Linked DNA regions of Callithrix jacchus. The protein of the gene in region 1 binds, or shares a complex with, the protein of each later gene. Links are inferred from orthologs where the notes say so. Each region holds a gene or a part of one and is shown in the gene's direction. Other genes may lie near its edges.

Evidence for each region.
Region 2: SNRPD1 (region 1) and GPKOW share a complex: the UniProt entries of both Homo sapiens proteins name them as parts of the minor spliceosome. The link is inferred for Callithrix jacchus from reciprocal best matches to the Homo sapiens genes SNRPD1 and GPKOW.

What each region holds. Positions count from the first base shown.
Region 1 is NC_133514.1:64,585,402-64,590,230, forward strand, and holds the start of SNRPD1 (small nuclear ribonucleoprotein Sm D1), read left to right. Parts: upstream 1-1,369; 5' UTR 1,370-1,466; coding exon 1,467-1,480; intron 1,481-4,829. UniProt on the Homo sapiens protein: Plays a role in pre-mRNA splicing as a core component of the spliceosomal U1, U2, U4 and U5 small nuclear ribonucleoproteins (snRNPs), the building blocks of the spliceosome.
Region 2 is NC_133524.1:49,668,825-49,673,156, reverse strand, and holds part of GPKOW (G-patch domain and KOW motifs-containing protein), read left to right. Parts: intron 1-373; coding exon 374-528; intron 529-618; coding exon 619-743; intron 744-3,231; coding exon 3,232-3,341; intron 3,342-4,332. UniProt on the Homo sapiens protein: RNA-binding protein involved in pre-mRNA splicing. As a component of the minor spliceosome, involved in the splicing of U12-type introns in pre-mRNAs.

The sequences.
Region 1 (4,829 bases):
GAGGAAGGGGGAGTGTCTGTGTTAAATTTTAATGAGGCTCACACCTGTAATCCCAGGACTTTGCATTTTGGGAGGCCAAGGCAGGCAGATCACTTGAGGTCAGGAGTTCAGATCATCCTGGCCAACATGAGGAAACCCCGTCTCTACTAAAAATACAAAAATTAACGGGAGTGGTGATGCCTGCCTGTAATCTCAGTTAGTGGCGAGGCTGAGGCACAGAATCGCTTGAACCCGGGAGATGGAGGTTGCAGTGAGCTGAGATCGCACTACTACATTCCAGGCTGGGCGACAGAGCAAGACTTCATCTCAAAAAAGTTAAAAAAAAATTTTTTTTGATGAGATGAGAAAGAAGAAGATTGAAAAGTTTCTCTTATAGATCAAAATTTAAAGTGAAAATAATCCTCTACATTGTGTGATTTTCCTTTCTATTTTGAGATGGAGTTCTCTGCTCCCAGGCTGGAGTGCAGTGGTATGATCTTGGTTCACTGCATCTCTGCCTCCTGGGTTCAAGCAATTCTCCTGCCTGAGCCTCCCGAGTAGCTGGGATTACAAGCGCGAGCCACCATGCCCAGCTAATTTTTTTATTTTTAGTACAGACGGAGTTTTACCATGTTGGCCAGGATGGTCTCGATCTCTTGACCTCGTGATCCACCCGCCTCAGCCTTCTAAAGTGCTGGGATTACAAGCATGAACCTGGCCCCCAGCCCATTGTGTGATTTTCTTCAGGTATGTTAAGTAATGCCAAAGACCTCCTGGTGTTGGAACAGAGTCAGTATAATCCTTCGAGTTTCTCTCAGAACTTCTTTTCGTTCAGTAAGGAATTTATATTAGGTGCTGTACACACGGTGCCCTGTTGTTCAGAAGCGTGATGGTGACAGTACTATTTTTTTTTGAGACGGAGTTTTGCTCTTGTTACCCAGGCTGGAGTGCAATCGCGCGATCTCGGCTCACTGAAACCACCACCTCCTGGGCTCAAGCGATTCTCCAGCCTCAGCCTCCAGGGTAGCTGGTATTACAGGCACGGGCCACCATGCCCAGCTAATCTTTTGAATTTTTAGTAGAGACGGAATTTCACCGTGTTGGCCAGGCTGGTCTTAAACTCATGACCTCAGGTGATCCACCCGCCTCGGCCTCCCAAAGTGCGACAATGCTATTAACTGGATTTATTCTCTTGGAATCTCCCTCTCTTGCAGGACATTTTTCCTCCTAGACAAGCCCTCGAGGCCCTCTGCCGTCTCAAGGCAACCTCCAGCCGCCAGGGGCCGTAGTCGCGCTCCTCGTGGCCGGAAGGGAGTGCGGCCCAGCGCAGCCTCGGCGTTTCCGCCGTGCGTCCTCAGTGCTCTGCGCGCTCTTTACGTCCGAAGGCCCTGGAGTAGACGCTTCCGGCCATTCATACTGCCGTCGATCAGTATTCGGTAATTGGATTTTGTGCGCTATCGGAACCAAAGGGTGACGGCGCTGCTAAGATGAAGCTTGTGAGGTGAGGGGGTGACCAAGTAGCTCTGGGGACTGTGAAGGGCGGGCTTGGCCCGGAGTCCGGAAGGCTGAGGTCTCCCAGTTGCAGGAGGCGGGAAAGCCGCGTGTGCGCGGCCTGCTAACGGCCGGCCTCCTGAGCCCTCCGCTCGTTCTCTGGCTTGGGCTTCCGCGTGGGTAGCGCAGGGATCCCGGGTGTTTTCCAAGAGATGGGTATAAAGGCCGAGCGCTTTCTTTCCGCCTAGTGATTTAGAGATTTTAGGTTGCGGCGCCGCCGGGGCGCAGGTCGCTCTTGTGGTTACTGATTTTCTTTTTGAGTGAAATTCCAGTCTCACTTAAGAGTACTTAGAAGCTGTGTGAGCTTATCTGGAAATAATTACACCTCTTTGCAGAACATTTTAAGTCGGAGAAGGACTTGTGGCTCCACAAGTTTTTGTTTTAGTTTTTTCTTTTTTTAAATAAAGACAGTGTCTCACTTCGTTGACCTGGTCTCGAACTCCTAGGCTCAAGCGTTGCGCCCGCCTCGGCCGCCTAAAGGGCTGATATTACAAGTGTGAGCAACCGCGCCCGGCTGGTTTTTATCTTTTGATACTCCTTAGACTTATGAATGATTATTCCACCTCAATTTCCGGTTAAGGTAGGCTTTTGATTTAGGAAAATATCCTATAGGGCAGAAACTATCATAACGTAATTGTGGCTGATTATCCAGATAATACATAGTTCTCCTGTTTTATTTCTTTCGAAATAAATAAACCTGGTCGGTTAGGTGAATGTACTGAAGACTTTTTACTGATGTGAATAATTACTACCTGCAAGTAGATTTGGTTTTAGTGTTTTTCCTTGAGACTGAACCTGGGACAGAGGCAGACGTTTCTCATGACTAAGCCAGCAATTATAAATATTTAGCTCGTTTCTCTCTTGTTGAGTCAAGGATTGTCAATGTCCGCTAAATAGTTTATGGGCACCTGTTATATACTAGGCGCTGGTAATAGAATTTTTTAAAAGGCAAAGTCCCTGCTTTGTTGGAGCTTTCTGATTAGTGGTGACTACAGAAAAGTAGATAACGTCTGAAATAACGTTTGTTAGTTCGAAACGTTTTAAATAACATGAACTGACCTTCAATATCAGGGAGGAGGCTGCCCGCGCCTGTAATCCCAGCATTTTGTGATGCTGAAACGGGTGGATCACCTCAGGTCAGCAGTTCGAGTCCAGCCTGACCAACATAGTGAAACCCTGTCTTTACTAAAAATGCAAAAACTAGCCGAGCAAAATGGCAGGCGCCTGTAATCCCAGCTACTTGGGAGGCTGAGGCAGGATAAGCACTTGAACCGGGCAGGCGGAGGTTGCATGAGATCACACCACTGCACTCCAGCCTGGGAGACTCCGTCTCCAAAAAAAAATTATATTCAGGGAGGAGTTGGTACGAAAGACATTTAAGGTTAATTTTTAGTGTATTTTTATTTGAACTATAATTTTGGATAAGAAGTCCTAGAATTAATTAGCTCAGGATGGTGACGCATGCCTATAGTCCCACCTACTCGGGAGGCTGAGGCAAAAGAATTGCTTGAACTCGGGAGGCGGAGGTTGCAGTGAACCGAGTTCGTGCCTCTTCACTTAAGCTTGATGACAGAGTGAGAGTCCATCTCCAAAAAAGTCCTAGAATTTAAAGTACATTTTTTAGGCTGAGGCAGGCGGATCACCTGACGTCAGGAATCCAAGACCAGCCTGGCCAACATGGTGCGATCCCTACTAAAAACACAAAAATTAGCTGGGCATGATGAGGCGCTCCTATAATCCCAGCTACTGAGGAGGCTGAGGCAGGAGAATCACTTGGAACTCGGGAGGCGGAGGTTGCAGTAAGCTGAGATCCCGCCACTTCTGTACTCCAGCCTGGGCGACACAGAGACTCTATCTCTGTGGTTTTTTGTTGTTGTTGTTGTTGTTTTTTGAAATTTCTCCATACCTGCCAAGCTGAATCGTAATCTACTCATAGTTCAATTTTATGTAATACAGGTTGGATCCCGTTTGTCCCATTTAAAGATACTGCATGTTAAGACAATTTTCCCGTAATTTTTAATACTTGTACTGAATCCTGTTTTGTGTCTTAGGTAAAATATAGAAACAGTTTTTTTTCTTACTGGAGACTGTATTTTTCCTGCAGAAAGTGATTGTTTGACTAGTTTGCATTTTCAGTAGACTTTTATTTCTGTATCTCCATTGGCGGTGTTATCCTTATCCTCACTGTCACCCTAACCAAAAACCTGGGAGGTGAGCTTGACTTTTTCTCTCCTGATGTTCTTGACATTTGATAAGTTGCTGAGTTTGCCAATGTTACCTACTTCATACACGTGTCCCACGTTATCCTATTTTGATTGGTTTTTGGGTTCAAATAGTGTGTTTTGATACTGAGGGACACTATTATCTGACTATTTTATATCTAAGTTTCTCTAAGTAAAAATAATTCAGATATTAAAAGATTCATCTGAAAATAATTTGAATCCATTTGGTTCCTGGGCTCAAAGAGGGAAGGATATTTGGTATTTGTCCTGCCTGTAGTAGCCTCCATTCATTCCAGATACCACCACTGAGGTTCAGGCCCTTCCTATCCCACTCATGGTTTTTGTGTTTTCCTTCTTTGAGGTAAATATTTTATACAATGAAATGCAGTGTGTATTTCCTGGTATTGAAAAATGTGAACACTTTTTTTTTTTTTTTTTTTTTTGAGAAGGAGTTCCACTCTTGTTGCCCAGGCTGGAGTGCAATGTCACGATCTTGGGCCACCGCAACCTCCGCCTCCCAGGTTCAAGCGATTCTCCTGCCTCAACATCCCAAGTAGCTGGCATTGTAGGCATGTGCCATCACACCTGGCTAATTTTGTATTTTTAGTAGAGATGGGGTTTCTCCATGTTGGTCAGACTGGTCTCAAACTCCTGACCTCAGGTGATCCGCCCTCACCTTCCCAAAGTGCTGGGAATACAGGTGTGAGTCACTGTGCCTGGCCTGTAAAACTTCTTTTACTCACATGTTTTTGAGATTCATCCACATTGTCAAGTGCATCAGTAATTTGTTCATTTTTATTACTAGATATTAGTGCATTGTGTGTTTAGAAGTTCTGTATTTTAGGCCAAGGCAGGCGGATCACAAGGTCAGTTCAAGACCAGCCTGGCCAATGTAGTGTAACCCCTTCTCTACTAAAAATACAGAAATTAGCTGGGCTTGGTGGCACATGCCTGTAATCTGAGCTGCTCAGGAGGCTGAGGCAGAAGAATCGCTTGAACCCAGGACGCGGAGGTTGCAATGAGCAGAGATTGCACCACTGCACTCCAGCCTGGGTGAAAGAGCTAGACTCTGTCTCA
Region 2 (4,332 bases), on another chromosome or scaffold:
AGTCCGAGGGGTCTGAGGGAGGGATTTTCAGAAGAGAATCAGGCATCTAGGAAGCTGTTTGGGGAGCTGGGGAGAGTCTGGGCTGAAGATAGTGATTTGCGAGTCATTGTGGAAGCCGGTCTTGGGTTTAACAGAGAGTCCAGGAATTATTTGTCGAAGGCACTGACATTTATGAGTTGGGCACACTAGGGGAGAGAATCCAAAGAATGGACGACCAGAGAGGTACAGGAGATCCAGACATGGAGTAGGGAAGACATGGTCTGTGGGGCTGGGGGTGAGTTTGGCTGTTGTGTTTTCTCTGAATGAAGGAGTGTGACTCAGAACCCACTGACCCTGCCACTCACCCAACCTCACCCCTCTGTGTCCACATCAGTGTGAAGCCCCAGGAAGCCCCCACGGAACTCATCATCCCTTTGATCCAGAGTGGCTATCGCAGGCAGCCACCAGCCCCGTCCCCTGGGCCATCCGCAGATTCTGAGGCCTTGGTGGATGGGGTGCTGTCCCAGGCTGTGAAGGAGCTCATTGAGGGTGAGTGATGCCCCTTTACCCTACCCCAGTGAAGGAAGAAGGTGGAAGGATAGGGTGGGACCTCATTGCTCCCTCCTGTTCTTCCCTTAGAATCCAAGAAGTCTCTGGAGGAGAGAGAGAATGCGCATGTCAACCCCACGCTTGCTATCCCCATGATCCAGAAAGGATGCACCCCCAGCGGGGAAGGGGCAGACAGCGAACCCCGGGCTGAGACAGTGAGCTGGCCCCTTGTCCCCCTTCTGCCCCAGCCTTTCTTTGCCCTGTCTGCCACGCTGTGTCCCTGCACGTAGCAGGGAAAGTCTGTGTGTGCTAGAGGCCCGCCACCTGCCCCTTCTCTTGCCATCCTTTTCGGAAGCATTACCAAATGAATCTGGATACCTGGATGCTAAAAAAGTACTTGAATCCTAGGATTATCTGAATGAGATGTGCAGCAAAGGGAACAGGAAATGTAAAGGCCCTCAAGGTAGACACTGCCTAGAGTGTTTGCTGACACCAAAGAGACCAGTGTGACTGAAGTGGAATGAGTGAGGGGAAGGGATAGTAGATGAAGTCAGAAAGGAGACAGGGTGCTAGACCAGGCAGGGCCTTGTAGGCCATTGTGAGGACTTTGGCTTTTACTCTGAGTGGGGTGAGAGCAGGGACAAGCCCTGAGCAGAGATGAAATATGATTTATAATTTGACAGCATCCCCCTGGCTGCTGTGAACAGAATCATTAGTGAAGGTGGAAGCAAGGGGCTTAGTCCAGGCTAGAGATGCTGGGGGCATAGACCAGAGTGGTCTGGAAGGATAAGCAGGGTTTAGTAAGAGAGGGAAGAACAAACAGAGTGAGTACTCCTGTTGGTAGCAACAGCCTAAGCAATGACATAGTAGCAGAAAATCGGTGTGGCAACTTGTATCTCTGGAGTGAATGTGAAAGAGTGATGATGGGAGGTGACAAGGGAAGAGGTTAGAGGTGTTTCTACAGAAGTAACCAAGTCTGTCTTTCATACCCGCAGACCTGACTTTTCACCTTTTCTTTCATAAATTTCTTGCACTGCTTCTTTGGAGTCTAGTTCTCCTACACCTGCAGACCACTCTCCCTTTTGACTGAACTGTTATTTCCTTCATCTTTTTTTTTTTTTAACACAGTCTTGCTCTGTCATCCAGGCTGGAGTGAAGTGGTGCAATCTTGGCTCACTGCAACCTACCCCTCCTGGGTTCAAGCAATTCTCCTGCCTCAGTCTCCCGAGTAGCTGCAGTTACAGATGTGCGCCACCATACCTGGCTAATTTTTGTATTTTCAGTAGAGACAAGGTTTTGCCATGTTGGTCAGGCTGGTCTTGAACTCCTGACCTCAAGTGATCCACCCACCTTGGTCTCCCCAAGTGCTGGGACTACACCTGTGAGCCACTGTGCCCAGCTCCTTTATCTTTAAAGAAAAAAAAAGATCCCACTTCACTCTTCATCCTTTCATCCTGTTCCAGCTTTGGCCTCATTCCTCTAATTTTTCCCTCTATAAACCTCCTCCTGCAGATTTCCGCATCTCAACTGACCAAAATTTCATCCATCCTTCCTCTCACTCAGCTTAAAAACCTTGGAGACAGCTGGGCATGGTGGCTCACACCTGTAATTTCAGCAGTTTGGCAGGCTGAGGCAGGCGGATCACCTGAGGTCAGGAGTTCGAGACCAGCCTGGCCGACACGGTGAAACCCCATCTCTACGAAAAGTACACATATTAGCCAGGCATGGTGGTGCACGCCTGTAATTGCAGCTACTCAGAGGCTGAGACAGGAGAATCGCTTGAACCCAGGAGGCGGAGGTTGCAGTGAGCAGAGATTGCACAATTGCACTCCAGCCTGGGCCACAGAGCAAGACTCCATCTCAAAAACCAAAAACAACAACAACAAAATCTTTGGAGTCATTCTCAATTCCCCTCTTTATTTCATGCCCCGTCCAATCTGCCAGCACAATTCTATCATCTTTTTTCATAATGACACCCAGAACTGACCACTTCTCACCACCACCAATACCACCACAAAGGGCTGAGCCACCAGCATGTCTCATCTGGACTATTATAGTAATTTCCTCACTGGTCCCTCTTGTGGCTCCCACCTGGCTCAGGGTCCTCTGACTTCTGCCCAGCTTTCCTAATTTAGTCTCTTCGCCACCCTTCTCTGCTCTCTACTCTCACCATCATGGTGACTTTCGTGATACTCCTCACACCTACCAAGCCTTGTCTGGCCTCAGGGCCTTTGCTATTACAGTGCTTTCAGCTTGGGACACTTTCTTCTCATATCCTCATGGCTCCCTCTGCTGTTATCTCAACCCAGTGGCACTCCCTCTCCATCCCTCTGCATCCTCTTACCCTGCTTTCTTGTTCTTTACCTCACCACCTGACACATCATGTTCTCTGTGTTTTATTTATAGTGTGTCTCCAGTACTAGACTAGAAGCTCTGCAAGGGTAGGGGTTTTTGTCTGTTTAGTTCACTGCTTCATCCCCAGTACCTAGAACAGTATTTGCCATAGATTAGGTGCTTTATATTTGTTGAAGGACTGAATATGGAGGAGTACAGTGAGGGATGGAAAGAGGAAATCAAAAGTCACCCTTGAGCTGATTGGAAAAGACACATAGCAAGTCACACAGTGGGTGGCAGCAAGTGCACTTCAAATAGAGGACCCAATATAAGTAATACTGACCCTCCTTCCTCTGCCTGAACCTGTAGGTGCCAGAGGAGGCCAATTATGAGGTGGTCCCTGTGGAGGCCTATGGGCTGGCCATGCTGCGGGGCATGGGCTGGAAACCTGGCGAGGGCATCGGTCGCACCTTCAATCAGTGAGTTCTGGGATGGGGTAAGGGGACAGACAGATCAGGCTGTGATCAAGATCCCCAGGATCACTGCCAAACTGGAACCATCCAGGCAGGGAGGGAGGATACATTATTGCCCTAACTAATTCAGCAGCTCCTTCCACTACTGTGTTTTGTTTTATTTTATTTTTATTTTAGCCACAAAGGGAGAGGAATGTTTTGTTTTGTCTTCTTTTTTGAGATGGAGTCTCACTGTCGCCCAGGCTGAAGTGCAGTGGCGTGATCTCAGCTCACTGCAACCTCTGCCTCCTAGGTTCAAGTGATTCTCCTCCCTCAGCCTCCCGAGTAGCTAATTTTTTATTTTTAGTAGAGATGGGGTTTTACCATGTTGGCCAGGCTGGTCTTGAACTCCTGACCTCAGCTTATCCACCCGTCTTGGCCTCCCAAAGTGCTGGGATTGTAGGCGTGAGCCACCACACCTGGCTTCCACTTCTGTTTTAAACTCCCATTTGGCCTTCAGAATACTGTAATAGAATCCTATTTTTATAAAGTTTGCCTCTGGGGACATCAATTTCCTCATCTGAAAAATGGGGATAGTAATACTGACTTCACAGGTCTGTTGTGTGAGTTAAATGAAATTATACATATAGGCCAGGTAGTGGCTCATGCCTGTAATCCCAGCACATTGGGAGACTGAGGCAGGAGGATCACTTAACCTTGGCAGTTTGAGACCAGCCTGGACAACATAGGGAGGCTCCATCTCTACAAAAGATTAATTAATTTTAAGAAAAGAAATTATATACGTAAAGCACATACAGTAGGTCCTGGCCCCAAGAAAGCATAGACTAAACATTTACTATTGTCATGCAGACTTACTACCCTTTCTTTGCAATTGCAAACTCTGAAGAATTCTGAAAAACAAACATTTTTTCCTAAGCCATTGGTAGCCAAACATGACCTGAATTGGTATCGAGTATTTTTTTTCTTTTGACATGGAGGCTCTTTGTTGCCCAGGCTG